2 linked regions of the Elephas maximus indicus genome follow. The protein of the gene in region 1 purifies or fractionates together with the protein of each later gene. This does not show direct contact. Links are inferred from orthologs where the notes say so. Each region holds a gene or a part of one and is shown on either strand. Other genes may lie near its edges. The genes, in order: AXIN2 and GSK3A.

What was found.
Region 2: the proteins of AXIN2 (region 1) and GSK3A purify together in Homo sapiens (affinity purification with mass spectrometry; 3 studies listed by BioGRID and IntAct, with this or other methods). This does not show direct contact. The link is inferred for Elephas maximus indicus from reciprocal best matches to the Homo sapiens genes AXIN2 and GSK3A.

What each region holds. Positions count from the first base shown.
Region 1 is NC_064837.1:58,198,202-58,205,339, forward strand, and holds the start of AXIN2 (axin-2), read left to right. Parts: upstream 1-4,050; 5' UTR 4,051-4,067; intron 4,068-4,078; exon of another isoform or gene 4,079-4,191; intron 4,192-4,593; exon of another isoform or gene 4,594-4,850; intron 4,851-4,856; exon of another isoform or gene 4,857-5,151; intron 5,152-5,301; exon of another isoform or gene 5,302-5,674; intron 5,675-6,871; 5' UTR 6,872-6,982; coding exon 6,983-7,138. UniProt on the Homo sapiens protein: Inhibitor of the Wnt signaling pathway. Down-regulates beta-catenin. Probably facilitate the phosphorylation of beta-catenin and APC by GSK3B.
Region 2 is NC_064829.1:108,673,279-108,681,337, forward strand, and holds the start of GSK3A (glycogen synthase kinase-3 alpha), read left to right. Parts: upstream 1-4,893; 5' UTR 4,894-5,078; coding exon 5,079-5,361; intron 5,362-6,407; coding exon 6,408-6,449; intron 6,450-6,935; coding exon 6,936-7,123; intron 7,124-8,059. UniProt on the Homo sapiens protein: Constitutively active protein kinase that acts as a negative regulator in the hormonal control of glucose homeostasis, Wnt signaling and regulation of transcription factors and microtubules, by phosphorylating and inactivating glycogen synthase (GYS1 or GYS2), CTNNB1/beta-catenin, APC and AXIN1.

The sequences.
Region 1 (7,138 bases):
CTGGGGAGCCGCCCAGGATCAGGCTGCGGGTAGCCCAGTTCTAGGGGTCAAAACTTTAGGGGTTGAATGAGGCACGCTTCTGTGTAATTTGAGGCTGAAGCTCTGTTCTGATTCTTTGAGGAAAACATCCCAAATCCTATTTATTAGTCCTTCCGTGGAAGTCAAGGACTCAAGATGCTCAGGCCCACCTCTTAACAGCCTTGCTCTTGGTCTCCTCACCTTGATGTGGTGGAAAAAGGAGAGGATGGACCAAGAATCAGGACCTCTGGGAGGTTCTAGCTCAGCTCTGACATGGGCAAAATGATCTTGGGAAAATCCCTTCACCCTCTCTCTGCTTGATGTCCCTCCTCTGTTAAATGATGGTATTGAATTAGATAGCATGTTAAGGACCCCTTGGGTTGGGATATTCTGATATTACTTTTTGGGCACTGGATATGGGACTGTCTTTGAAAGAGGGCAGAAAGGCACAGTCCCATTTGTTCCCCCAGCCCCAGCCCCTCTGTGCAGGGATGACAGCTAGGCTTTTGAGGACCTCTTTGGTCAGGTTCCAGGCCCCTAACCCAGGAGTATGGCTCCTAATTTGGAAGGTGTCTTTGCTCTGTAGACGGGCAGTTTCTTCCAGAACAGGTAACAGGTTATAGGTTATTGAGGAGACAGGGCAGCTACACAGAAATAACCACCATGTTTTGAGTGCCTACTATGTGTCAAGCACCTTGCTGGGCATTTTCTTTATGGCTCATCCCTACCACAGCCTTTTGAGGGGGCGGTTTTTCCACTCTATAGGTGAACAAAGGGAGACTCCCAGTGGTTGGGTCACCTACAGTCTTGGGAAAGGTTACCTGTGTCTCTCTCCACCTCCCTCCCTAAACAAAGCTACATTGTCTAAGGCGGCACTTTTCCAAAGAAATTAAAGGCAACGTTTCTGAATCTTAGCGAGCCACGTCTTGGGTCTGAGTTCCCCTGGAGCCCCGGCGGTGTGACTTTCCTTCCAGAGTGGCTTTTGTGGGGCTCACTAAAGGTCAGCGATCTGGCCAGATGCCTCTCAGGCAGCCCGGAGTCCTGGTTTTCTGGGATTCTAGGATTTCAGTCCAGTACATAATTCCAGAAGAGAATCACCAACCACCCCCCCTCCAGCTTTATTAAACTTGTCTGCACTTGGGCAAAGTGGCCTGTTTATTCTCTGTAGGGTTTTTCTTTAAAGGGGGGCGGGGAGTGAGCATGTGCAGAAATCCATCACCTTGCTTTCTAGTTTCCAGGCAACCATGCAGGATTACAACAAGTCACATGATAGTGCTGCTGCCAGGGAGAAGGGGAAAATGGAACATGGTGCTATCTTGAGAAAGGGGCTGAGTAAAAGCAAAGGACTTTGGCTTTTTCTCTAGAAATATTATCAACAAGTAGTCAAAGACACAGAGGCTAGAGAGAGCTTCTGGCTTCTCAGCACTTTGCCCTGTCTCCTGCTGGGTGGAAAATGTACCACAGAGAAGTAGAGGAGAGAGGGGAGCAGGGCAGGGGTGAGATGGGGGGGCAGTCATGGGCCTGAGGTGACCAAGCACCTGTTGTGGTAGCCAGGCTCCCTCTCCAAAGGGCTGTTCCTGAGAAGATCCAAAGTGAGCCAGGCCTTGCTCCTGCTTCCCACGGTCAGCCCCTCCTTCCTGCCACTGCAGCACTGGGATAATGAGGGCACTGAAGGGGTGTCCTTTGGTTAAAGGGATCCTATGATGATGAGGGCTGGGTGGGGGGCCGTGAAGGGTCAGCCGGGACAGCAGGGAGGGGAGGAAAGCCACCCATGAAGACCAAGTTTCCACTTCCTGTTTTGAACCTTCCTCTTTCTGAATGCTGTTTATTTTGATTTTGATGTTTTGATATTTCCACCTCCCCTCCCCCACATTGTGTGTGTGTGTGTGTGTGTGTGTGTGTGTGTGTGTGCGTGCGCACGTGCACGCTGTTGTTTATATTGTAGATGCTTCTATGGCAATTCATTCCATTCCTCTCTGTATACATTTTTGTTCCTTAATAACACCCTCTGTGGCCTAAAGACTCCCTGGAGCCACAGGTTCTGACCCAAGGGACAGCTTTGTTCTTTGCTCTCCTGGAGTGGGGTGGGTGTGCCCTTGGCCCTGGGTCCCATACACCAGCTCAGAGCTCACACCCACAAGCCACATGAGAGGGGCCGGCAGCCATTCACCCTTGGGATTCCAGGAGGCTGGGCCAGGAGACGGAGCCAACCTGAGACAGACTGGCTTCCAGTGTCCTCACACCCAACAGTGACCCAAAGATGACTCATCAGGCCACACTCTCTCTGACCTTCCTGGTTTGCCCTGAGGTGGCTGTATTTCATAGCCTGGACTGCTGGCTTTAAGCCAGCCCTGCCACCTGGGGAGGTGTTGCCCAGAGGGGCAAATGTGGACACAGAGAGGCAGGTCTCCTGGAGGGAGATGCTGCCCTCCTTGGCACCCAGGAGCTGGAGACTATGGCAGCATGGGTGCAAAGGCTGTATAGTCCCTTGTCCCACCGTTCTATGCTGAGGGCAGTGGAATGCTGTCCCTGAGGTTTGCCCTTTTCCAGCATACCATGGGTGGCATATCTTCTTTGTCTTTTCCTGTGGAAACCTAAACAGCCTGATGAGGGGTTAGAGGCACCTCTACATTTAAAAGAGCTTGTCAGACATAAAGGTCCCTGGGTGGAACAAACGGTTTGCAATCAGCTGCTAACTGAAAGGTTGGTGGTTCAAGCCCACCCAGCAAGAAAGGCCTCGTGATCTCTTTCCCTAAAGATTCCAGCTGTGAAAACCCTATGGGGCAGCTGTACTCCTTAACACGTGGGGTGGCCGTGAGTTGGAATCTACTCTACAGCACCAGGGTTGCTTGGTTTTAGTCAGACATGAAATTAAAGAAGAAAGAAAATGAAGAAAAAGTGAGTGGAAGTGGAGAGCCAAATCCCAGGCTTAGCTCTGATGAGGCTGGGGGCTCTGCCCAGCAGTTCTTGACGCTCCTTGGTTTATACTCTGAATGCTTTTTAAGAGGAAGAGTTAACTTTTTAGGTCATCCCATGAGAGATCATTCTCAAGCAATAGATGAACAAACATATAATGTTCCGGGATGTGTGGTATATTTTCTTACTGTCCTAGGGGAAAAGAGAAGGTTGTGTCCCATGAACATTATTGGGGGAAGGTGGGACCGTGGCAGTGCGATGAGGTGCTTTCAATACGTTAAAACCGCGGTGTCTAGGGGGAAAGAAGACAGCCCATGTCAGCTTAATACGTAACATATGGGAGGACGGAGGACGCTTGGAAGAGAATGACGGGTGTGCAGCTGCTACAGAGAGATGGTCAATGTGCGTGCAGTGAAGGATCCGCTGGGCCAGGCCAGGTTAGGAGTTGGGATTAAATCTTCGGGAAATTTAGGAATGCTTCCTAACGAGGTGTCAGGGAGCGTCTCCAAGCTCTCAGGCCTGTGCTAGTAGATTCACGCCCTCATCTTCCCACTTCCACATACGCACCTTAGCCCTGTATTTACCCAAACTCAGATCGCGCGCACATGCACGCACACGCCTGCGCCCGAGCCCGCGGACGCTCTATGACACTTGGCCTGTCGATCCCAGGGCTAGAAATCCCTTTACAAGGATCTCCAAGACCAAATTCTCAGAGAAACTTTAATAGGAGGTAGAAAAGTGTTTGATGATAGGGGGAAAAAAAATCTGCTTGCTTGCAGTTCTGGCGATCGCCAGAATGCTACAATAAACTGTTGCATTCCAGAGCTGGGGAGGGCGAGGGAAGGCAGGGGAGGAGGCGAGAGCAAAGAGACCAGAGAACTTGGAAGACGAAATCAGAAACTCGGGCTGCGAAAGCCGCTGGGGCCGCGGGGGGCTGGCAAGGGGCGGAGGAGGCCGGGGAAGGGTTAACGCGGGCGCAGAGCGTGCGGCGGGGGCGGGTCGGGAGCGGGTGCTGTCCCTTTAAGGCGGGCGGCGCGGGCCAGCCGAGCGCGGCTGTGATAGGCGCGGCGGGATCACTGGCTCCTGAAGCCGGGCCCGGGGGAGTCGGCTGGAGCCGGCTGCGCTTTGATAAGGTCCTGGCAACTCAGTAACGACCCGAGCGCCTGGAAATAAAAATACCCCCCAATAGCCTAGGCTTTTGGGGCGGCCCGGCGTCGGAGCCGCCCGTCTCCCCCGCAGAAAACTCTGGTGTAAAAGGTGGGGGTGCAGGCCTGGGCCCCGAAGAGCTGCTTCCGAGGAAGCCTCCTCTTGGCCCTGGGACGAGGTCGCGCCAAGCCCCATCGCGGGCTCGGGGGGAGGGGGGCCCGGTGGGGCCGAGGCCGGGCTGGGGAGGGGGCCGCGGGCCCGACGGCCCACAGGAGGGGTGCTGGGGGTGCGGGGGGCGGCCCGGTGCGCGGCGGGCGCGTACCTCCCTTTCAGGACCGTGCGCTCGGCTCGCGCCTTTGAAGTGCACAGTTAAATCCACAGCGCAGTTTTTGTTGGAAGCGCCCGGAGGACATTTGGTGCGCGGAGTAACTGCTGGAAACAGGACCTGTGTTGAAAGCCGGCCGGGCGGGGGCCGAGGGGCCGGGGGCGGCCGCGGCGGGGCGGTGGGGGCGGAGGCCCGGGCGAATCTTTTGCATAAAAGGGGCGGCGGGGCGAGCTGCGCGACCCTCCCTAGCCGGTGGATTGCGCTCTAATCCGAGCTTGTTGTTCCACCGCCCCCTCCCCGCCGCGCGACTCCCCATGCTCCCCGCCGCCGGGGACGGCCCGGGGGGGCCCGGGGCTGCCGCCGCGAGCCGAGCCGGGGGCCGGGGCCGGGGCCCTGCCCAGGGCGCCAACGAGGTTTCGCCGCGGAGCGCGCGCGCGGATCAATGGTGAGTGCCAGGCAGAGTCGGCGGGGCGGCCCGCGCGCTTTGATGTACCGGGCGGCCCTTTGAAGTTCTGGCGAGCTATTTCGGGGCGCGCTCCGCGCCGGCGTGCAGTGGAGCAGCGGGCCCGGCGCCCAGCACTCTGGGGGCTCTGCCTGGACGCCCTGAACCGAAGCCCCCTCCCCAGCACTGGCCGGGATGGCTGGGGGCCTGGCCAGGAGACTTGGCCAAGTGACGGCGGCGGCGGAGAGGGGCAGGTTCCCCCAGGGGTCGCGCCGCTATTGCTGTTATGGATGGGAGTCAGAGTGTGAGTGTGCGCGGGAGTGCTTTTGGAAGGTGGGATGAAAGGGTGGTGGCTCCCCGCCCTCCCCGCGCGCCCTCCCTCAGCCCTCTCCCCCACCCAGCTCCTCTCCCTCCCCCTCCCTTTCACCCCTCCCTGCGCTAAGGGGCCCGGAGCGCCTGCCCTGGCTCAGTCTGCGCGCAGGACCGGCCCGAGCCCGGGCGCCCGCGTGCCGTCTCCCCGCCCGGGCCCCGCGCCCCTGGCCGCATCGGCCCCGGTTGCGGAGCGGCGGAGACTCCGCGCGTCGCCATTTCTGGACTTGGCCTCTGCTTTCCGTGGTTTTTCTGCGGGCGCCTCGGCGAGCGTGGAGCGGGGGACCGGCCCGGTTCGGTCCCGGGGCACTACCCTCACCCCCCGGGGCTCCGGGCCCGCGCTCGACGGCACTCTCGGCGGGGCTTAGGACGCGTTTGGTTTGCTTTGGGCTGGGGGGCCGGTGCGGAGGGGCTTGGCAGAGATGAGAGCCCGGCCTCGGTCCGCCTTCGTCTGCCAGGTAACGGGGCCGCCCCACCTCCCCTCCCCCGGGTACCGTGGGCGGCTGCCGGGGGCCCCTCCATTCCGTCAGCTGCGGTGCCCTGCCCGGCCGCGGAGGCCCCAGGCGGGGGCCGCGCGCACCCAACCCTGGTCGGGGAGCCCCGGCGCCTCGCCGGGGGTCGCGCCGTATCCCTGGCCCCCCCGCCCTCCTTATTTTGATCCTTCCCTTGCTAGGGAAAGAGGCTTCTTTACTGGTTAGATAAGACTTTTTTTTTTTTTTTTTTTTAAAGGCTTCAGATCGGTAGAGTTTGGGATTCTTGGTACAGGCAGTGGTAGCGTGAGACGGTTTCTGATCCGGTTTTGTAGGGTTCGCTCCCGGAGGTGGGCGGGAGGGGGGAACCCGGGCGGCGGGTCCCGAGGCTTCTCTGTTCTCTTGCAAAGTTTGAAGATCAAAGGCTAGGCTGAGTGAGTTGGTTCTGGTTTGGGGGAGACCGAGGTGGAGATGGAGTCGGATTCTTGGCTGGGGGAGGGCGCAGCGGACATTTACATCTAGGTTGGGGTGGGGGCGTTTGCCTGCTGGATCTCGGCGTCCGAGAGCCCATTCCGCCCTGTGCTGGGCGGGCTTCTGAATTTTTAAGGAGTGGAAGGGGGAGCGCAGAAGGAAGGGGGTGGAAGGGGGAATGGGAACCAGATGCCGAGGAAGGGCACGTTTGGAGCTCCAGTTATCTGTGCGGAGAGCTGAGTTGGGAAACTTACCGAAATTGGTTTCACCTGTACGCAGCCCCGCGCCTCGGAGTGGGTCGTTTGGAGTTGATGCTATCGGGGGAGGGGGAAGGAGTGGGGAGGCGTGGGCCGCGCTGCCCTGCGTGCGTGGATGCATGGGCAGAGCGGGTTTTTGGAAGGTTCTGTCTCCCACAGTCCCTACCCTCCTTCTGTCCCCCTTGCTTGCATCTCCGTTCTTCCCCATCTCCACTTCCCCGCCCCTCTCCACCCACCCCCTCCCCCCCAAAAAATACTGGGAGCTCAGATTTCGCCTTTGAAAAAGCAGCGTCTGATACTTCAGATGCGCACCTCACAGATAGCTGGGTTGCTTGATTTGAATTTGAGGAGTTGAAAAGCCTGTTTACTTTCTTGCTTTGATGTTGGGTAGATCTGGTTTTGATTAGATCAATGCCCTTTTCTCTCTTCCCACCTCCCCCCTTCCTTTTCTTTCCAGAGAGGAGGCTCAGATGAGCCCCTGCTGACTTAAGAGAGAAAGAGAGACCACGCTGATTGCTGAGAGGAACTGGAAGGAAAAAAGCCCAAACTCAGTGAGAACTCCCTCACCATGAGTAGCGCTGCGTTGGTGACTCGCCTCCCGGACCCAAGCAGTAGCTTCCGCGAGGATGCCCCACGGCCCCCAGTCCCTGGGGAGGAAGGGGAGACCCCGCCGTGCCAAGCTGGCCTGGGCAAGGGCCAGGTCACCAAACCCATGCCTGTGTCC
Region 2 (8,059 bases), on another chromosome or scaffold:
TCTAGTCTTTTCCCACCTCCTCCCTGTCCCCTCCTCACATTTTGTATAAAACTTTTTTTTTTTTTTAATGGTTGGGGAGGGTGGGTGCCCAGGGCTATCTCCTGTCTCTGTGGGTTTCTAAGCTCTGGACAAAGTGGTGGGAGGGAGGGGGGGGAGAAGTTGGGGAGGTAAGGGGGCTGCCTCCATTCTGGGGAATTTTTATTTGAACGAGGCTTTGGCCTCAACACCCAGGAACTTTTTTATTATAATTGCCTAGGAAGTAAAGCCGTCTCCCTTCTGTCCTCTGCCTCTCATGCCTCTCTTCTGCCCCCAGGTGGTCCCAGTCCCAACCCTGCCTTCCCTGCCCTTCCAGGGGCCATGAGTGCCTGGGTTTCTCATACCCCACAAGGTCGCAGCAGGGGAGGGAGGGACAATTTTTATGATGAACCAAAAATTCCGTGGGGGGGGGTGGAGGGGGGTGGAGGAGGGTGAGGGGTACCACCCATGGGCCACAAATCTCTACAAGTGCCTGCTATCTCTCTCCCATTCTCCACCCCAGCACCAGTCCGATCCCTACACCCCCAGCTGCTCCTAGGACTGGCCCATGGGCAGGTGGGTGCAGGGGGTGGAAAAGGGGGGTGCCCTGAAACCAAACTGGAAACCCCCTCTGCCTCCCAGCTGGGGCCCCTGGGGTGGGGTGGGGGGCTGTGGTCAAGCCTTATTCTGTATTGGGGATGGGGGGGTGGGAGGTAGGGAGGGGCTGCTGGAGAATGTATTCAAAACAATAAAACTTCGGACCTTTTTCATGCAGTGATCTGTCCTGGGTGCTGGGTGTAGGCACCACGGGGCCACAGCTTTGGCTTGATTTTCAAAAGACAGGGCCCTGGACTTCCCTGCACCTGCAGTGGGTCTGTGGCCTGGTCTAAATGGGTCAAATCCGGGCCTGGGAAGTGACCTCCTGACCTCAGAAATGATTCAGGTCTCAGCAGACTCTGGCCCTGTATCTGACTGCTTCTTTATTCCTGGAAAAGTGCTTGGGACTTATCGCCACCACCGAGTTGCTCTCACTGTTCTGGTCACCTGAAATGCCCTGGCTCCAAGTTCCCATACCCTGAGGTCCCTAGTGAGGGCCAGGGAGTGCTTTTGCACTGCCCCCATATCTCGCCTTAGGTCACTTCTAAGCAAATCAGGAAATCCCTGGGAGACAAGTCCTGAAACATCTTGAAATGTTAGACCTTACTACGTACCTTAGTGGAAACGCCCCCAGCCAGCAAGTTGAGGAGGGACTGGTTTGATAACCACAGTTAACCATTCATTGACCTACTTCGTGCCCAGCACCTAGCTAGAAGCTGCAGTGGTTTATCTCCTTCAAGACCCAGCAAGGTAGGGGCAACCAGCTCAGTTAAATGACTTGCCCAAGGCCAAGAGGCGGTAGGAAGCAGAGCCAGGACTTTAAATGAGATCAGCCTCCAAAGCCAGTGTTCTTTCAACAACTCCTTTGAGTTTTCCTCCTTAAAGCCAAGATGGTTGGATCAAGATCAGGGACTTGGGATCACAGGATAAAGTTAGAAACCAAGATTGGAGAGCTTTGTAGGATGAGGGATCAAATAATCCGTGAGAAATCCGGGTTTAAAGTTTCCTTAGAGACAAGCTCAACCTCTTCAGTGCAAGTGAGGTCCTTGAGGAAGAGAAGAGAAGGGGTTTCCCCAAGGCCATGGCATTTAGGGCTTAGGGCTTGTTGGATTGGCTTCACTGCAGTACCACCCGGTGCAAGCCTGAGGGGGATGGAACATTGGCAACTGTCTACCCACTCTCCCTTAAACCTCATCTCATGCAAGCCCAGAGTGGGTGGTCCCAGATAATGGCAGTGAAGAGGATCCAGGGATGGGGTATTGGCAGGAAATCCAGACTCCTATGGCGGGCTGCGGGCAACTGCTCCCTCTCCTGGGTGATGTAAGTCACTCCCTGGGGTGGGGGCCCCTGGGAGCGGCTGTGCTGGGTTATTTCTGGAAGTTGGGCTGAGGCATGTCTCCTAGCAACACAGATGCAGTTGAGAAATTATTGGTGGTGGGTGATGGAGAAAGGGGGGTGTCACTGGAGGAAGGGGGGTAGGACCCTTAGCTCATGAAGAGTTTTTTTCAAACACTGCTAACCAATTCTAAAATGGATTAAAACGTTCTCAGCTCCAGAACTGCTCTCCAGGATCAGACCACAGTCCTATCAGCCTTCTTGTCCCAGATTCTGGATAAGGGGATGTCAGGTAGCATCTGGGCTTGACAACTCCAGTGGCTCCCCCAATCTTGAATGACACATCTAAATCTATTCACAGGCCTGAAATACTAAAGTGTCCTGCAAGACACCCTTGGTTCTCTCCATCTCCTCTGAAGTCTTTGGCTACAAGTATAAAGTACTTTATAGATTCTTTACATATTCACTTACCTCATCAGAGACCCTCTTCACATCTAATAGCCCCCAGCACCCCGACAGATCCCTATAGCCCCTTCCTGATGCTTCTCAACCATCCCTCAACCCTTCAGGTCCCTCAGAGATCCCTTAGACACCAGTAGATTCTCCATCTCCCAAAAGCCTTTTACGTCCCCTCAGACTTCTCTGCTTGTCCCCAATAATTGCTCTCAGGTGCCTACAGCCCATCAAAGATCCCTTCACCTCTTCAAACCCTCAAACCCTCCTGACACCGTTAGGCCCCTCATAGACACAACCCATCCCTAGCACCTGTCTATGAATGTTTTCAGCCCCTACAAACATCCTGACAGATGCCCTTAGATCGTCGCCCTCAGACTCCCATGGGCCCCAATAACCTCAGCAGCGGTTGCCTACGCGGAGCCCACTGCGTATGTTCTGGCCGTTAAGTAACCGCCGCTACCCTGCCCCGCTCTGCCGGCCTTGTCGACCTCCGTCCTGTCCAGTGTGGTCTCCAGGCCCTGGCGCTTGGCTCAGATTTTTACTTTCCTGCTCCAAGCTGCCGTCAGAGGGCAGCAGGCGCCGCTTAGCGAGAAACTACAACTCCCAGAAACACCTGCTTCAAGCTATGCGTGATACAGCCTCATGCCGTGAGAAAGAAACGGAGCGTGCCCGCGTTTTGCCTTCTGGATGATGTAGTCCGAAAAGGTTTTAGCGCTAAAGCCAATCTCGCCCCAGGGCGCTGTGTCTGCTGGGAATTGCAGTTAGAAACACACTGAGTGGACGGGATTTTCTTTAGGCCTCAGAAAAGAGCAGAACAGTTCTGCTACCTGAGGCTTGGATTAGCGTCCAAAGACTCCATTTCCCACCATTCCACGAGGCAGGAGGAGCCAAGAGCGCTTTCGCTCTAGTTTCAAGTGTTGGGGGTGAGACGCACGCACGCACGCACGCACGCACGCACGCACGCATGCACGCACAGACGAACTCTGTTTCCCAGCGCACTTTGGGGTTACGCTCCTTCTCGTTTAATTGATGAGGCGACTCAACGAACACCAACCCTAGGCTACAGCTTGCAGCTGGCTTCGCTGTTTTGAGCGCTCCGAACCTCAAACAAAACGCAATGCCGTGCATTCAATTCTGACTCATAGCGACCCTGTAGGACAGATCAGAACTGCCCCCAGGGTTTCCAAGGCTGTTTTTTTTTTTTTTTTTTTTACATCTTTTCGGAAGCAGAGTGCCCCATCTTTCTACCGCAGAGCAGCTGGTGGATTCCCAACCACTGACCTTTGGGTAGAAGCCGAAGGCTTAATCACTGTGCCACTCGAGCTCCTGTGAGCCCTCCAGGATCCTGTAACTTAGGATGCGGGCGGACGCAAAGAGCTGAGTGGGGGTTCAAGACAAATTCTATTTTCATTTCTTTTAACGCTTGGCTCAGCCTCGTAGTGCGACACATGTTAGAAAAAGATAGACCGTATCCGAAAACTGTGTTCTGAAAGACTGTTTCCCAAATCTTTTAGAGGAGGGATGTTTTTCTTTTTCTGCCTAATGTAAGGACACCTGGAACTTGAGTGCTCGGACTCAATTTTTCAACATCCCCCGATCGACTTCGGCACTTTCTTGGGTCCTGGGGGACAAAAAAGGAGGCGTTGAAACACATTTCAGTATCTCAAGGGGAGTGCCATCTGGCTCAGTGGTAGTCATTGGACTCCATTTCCCGGCAAGCCCCTGCGGTCTCGTTTCACAGAGGGGGGGTCAGAATCCGGCCTGGACCCTGGACTATTCCCCAGCGTGCTTCAGGCTCAAAGTGACAACCTTCCTCTTCTCCTCACCCCTCCCCCCGCCAATGGGGAGGCTACCTTGAACTTCAATCCCCAGAAGCCACCACTCCTCGTGTAGCAACTGCGCTGACGCCTTGGTGTCGACTACATTTCCCGACAGGAAGTGCGGCGGAGCGTACAAGGGAGGGGGGACGAGGTTCCAACTCCATTTCCTAGCCTATCTCCGGAACTGCAGTACCCCCTGGGGCTGAGGAACCTCACAGGACTCCATTTCCCGGCTTGCTTTGGGAACTCCTTTACATCCGCAATGCGGTGTGGGCGCGGCCACGACTCCATTTCCCAGTTTGCCCCACGGTTCGATATCTTCAAGTCTACGGACCGACTCAATTTCCCAGTGTGCACCTGGAGCCGGTATTCACTGGTTACCGGACTCCAATTCCCGGCATGCACCAGACACTGCTCATTGACGGAGTGCCTGCGACTACTTTTCTGAAGCACCTCTCGGGGCTCGCCGTTGCCGCAGTGTAATAAGTGTGGGGCCCTGACTATGTTCCAAAGTGCTTCGCGTTCCGCCGTCTGCAGTTCACCGATGGATTGCCCAGGAATTTATTTCCCAGCGTGCAGTGCGACCCGTCGTCCCCCGCCATCTTCCCTGTGGCCTTTGCGAACTCCATTTCCCGGCGTACCACGCGGCTTTCTCTACGGGCCGACGGCGGTGACACCGACGCGCAAAGCAAGCGGACTGCATCTCCCGACGTGCTCCGCGGCGGGCGCTGGGCCGGAGCCCGAGCGGCGCGGCCTGAAGGAGGCCGGAGCACTGAGGAGGCGGCGGCAGCAGCAGCGGCGGCGGGGGCAGCCCGGGGAGCCCGAGCCCCTTGGCCTGGGTCTGCGCTCGGCGCCATGAGCGGTGGCGCGCCTTCGGGGGGCGGCCCTGGGGGCTCGGGCCGGGCGCGGACCAGCTCGTTCGCGGAACCGGGCGGCGGAGGCGGAGGCGGCGGTGGCGGCCCCGGGGGCTCGGCCTCCGGTCCAGGCGGCAGTGGCGGCGGGAAGGCGTCGGTCGGGGCCATGGGTGCGGGCGTGGGGACCTCGAGCTCCGGGGGTGGCCCCAACAGCAGCGGCGGAGGAGGCAGCGGCGGCCCAGGCGCGGGCACCAGCTTCCCGCCGCCCGGAGTGAAGCTGGGCCGTGAGTACTGGCTGCTCCCGTGGGAGGTGGAGATTGGGATTCCCGGGGTCCCTCAAATGTCGATCAGGTTCTTTCATATACCCAGATAAGAGCCTGAGGTCATTGTGCCTCCCAAAACTGGCGTTTGAGCTTTTTACTTTTCAGAGAAATGAATTTTGGGGTCACCATTATTTAGAGTTTACAGTCAGAATTATTAACTTTTAGAGAAGCGGGCTACAGTCCGTGCTCTTCCATTACCAATGTCTCGCGTTTTTGAGTTTTAAAAACAAGTTTGGATATTCGTATCCCTTAAAGAACAGGTTTTGGGGTCACTGTCCTTTGCAAATGGGGGCCTAAGATTATTGTGTTCTAAGAAAACAAGAATAAGATCGCCATCCTCCAAAAAGGGAGATCCGAATTTGTTGTCTCTCAAAGACTGGGGATCTGGATTCAGTATCATTTACAAACGGGGATTTGGGGTTATTGTGTCCCAAAGAACAGGGCAAGGGTTTTCTAAACCTGATAACCAGGTCATCTTCCCTTTTAAAACACCTGGTCGGGCGTCATCACCGGCCCAAAATATGTAGTACTAAACCCCCAATGGTGGAAATTATTGATTATTGCATCTGAGCAATAAGGACAGGTGTCACCAGCCCCCCACAGAACAGGAATTGAGAGTCACCATGCCTTTCAAATCCACTGTTATTTAAAGAACATGGATCGGTGGGTGTTTTTTCACAAAAATGGAATGGGGGGGGGGAAGAGTCCTCCCTAGAATGTGGATTTGAAGTCGTAATTCTCTTAGTAATTTTTCTGGAGTATGGTGCCACTGGGTCTGAAAAAGTGATGTAGGGTCATCTCTCTCCAAAAGAGAATCGCTGTTACTGGGTCCTCAGTTCTCAAAAGAAAAGGGGTCACTATTCTCTAAGAATGGTTCCAAAGTTTGCTGCTCTTCAGAGAATGGGGATTGGGAGTCATAGTTTTTCTTTAAAGAACTGAGGCTGGGAGAGCCCCCTGATGATAGGGATTAAGTTCATCATTCTCACAATTTGGTGCTTGTCTGTCAGGTAGGAGTCTGGGGCCCTGGACTACCCAGATGAGGAGGTCAGGTCAGTGCCTTTTCTAACCCCGTAGTAATTGGGTAAGGGGTAACTCCTCCAAAAGTGAGAGTCAGGGTACCACCACTCTATGAGGAGAGGTCGTTCGTTTTTGTCACCAAGTTACTAGCTCTACCTGAGAAACTTAGAAATTACTAGCCCCGCAGGCGTTTTCTCAAAATAGGAGTATCTCAGGGTTATCGTTCCGTTAAAAGTCAATAAACCCAGAGTAGATGGATTCAACCAAGAGTGACCAGCCATTTATTGCTTTCTAGAATGGAAGTTGTATTATCAGCTCTTGAACAGTGAAGAGATTTAGGTGTCAACATGCTCCCCTATGGAAAGAGGCAGGATTTAGGGTTTCACTGGGAGGGTTCCAGCATCCACCTTGCCTCAAGGAGGGGGAAGGAACAAAGAGGCCCCCTCCCCACAGCCCTGGGATGGGGTGGTGGCCAGAGGGGAAATGTCAGTGGATCATCTGTCCCCATTGTCCCCCAGGTGACAGCGGGAAAGTGACCACAGTGGTAGCCACCCTAGGCCAGGGCCCAGAGCGCTCCCAGGAGGTGGCTTACACAGACATCAAGGTGATTGGCAATGGCTCTTTTGGGGTCGTGTACCAGGCACGGCTGGCCGAGACCGGGGAGCTGGTGGCCATCAAGAAGGTTCTCCAGGACAAGAGGTTCAAGGTACTTAGGGGGGAATGGGAAGAGGAGAGTTGGGCATTGGACGTAACCTGGTGCGAGAGCCCTAGCAAAACAGATGGAGCCTGGGTTCCACAGGAGATCCAATCATGGCCCAGAGGAGAAAGGGGTAAAGAAGGGAACGAGGTGTAGGGAAGACAGGAAGTGTTGAATCCTGGAGATACCAGAGCTGACATTTGTTGAGCGTTCATTCTGCGTAAGTGCTTTATGAGGTTCCTGGGTGGTGCAAACGGTTTGCGCTCAGCTACCAACAGAAAGGTTGGTGGTTGAACCCATCTAAGCAGTGCCTCAGAAAGAAAGACCGAACAATCTGCTTCCCTAAAGATCACAGCCAAGAAGATCCTGCAGAGCTTTGTTCTACTCTGTGACACGTGTAACGTATGCTTCATAGGCAAGCTTTTAGCTAATTTACATATTCTCTGAGGGTTGGTACTGTCCTTATTCCCGTTCTAAGCAGGCAGAAACTGAGACTCAGATAAGCGAATTGCATAGGAAGCGTCTACGTTAAGGTTGGAGTCTGGCCTGTCTGATTGCCAGGCCCTGCACCTTAACTTCTAGTTACATTTCTTCCCAGAGGAGAAAGGACACTGGCAGGGCCATGGAGGTCCACTCTGCCCCAGGTGCTTGGCGAGTTGCGCTCACCAAACCCTGCACTTTGCTGCCGGATGCCCTTCTCTCATTCATGTGAAGGTGCCCAATGGGCTAGTGGAGGCCCAGGGCACTAGAAGAAGATGGAGAAGAAGAAAGTAGAGGAATAACTGGTGTGCAAAGGACTGGCATTTTGGAGTCTGGTCTAGTCTGGATGTAGGTTAGGAGGGGAACATGGTCAAGGCCTAGGATTTCTTGGGCAGGGTGTCGATCAGAATTTGCTAAGAGTTGATTCCCTGAATGAGAGATATTTGGAGGCAGGGAGTTCTGAGA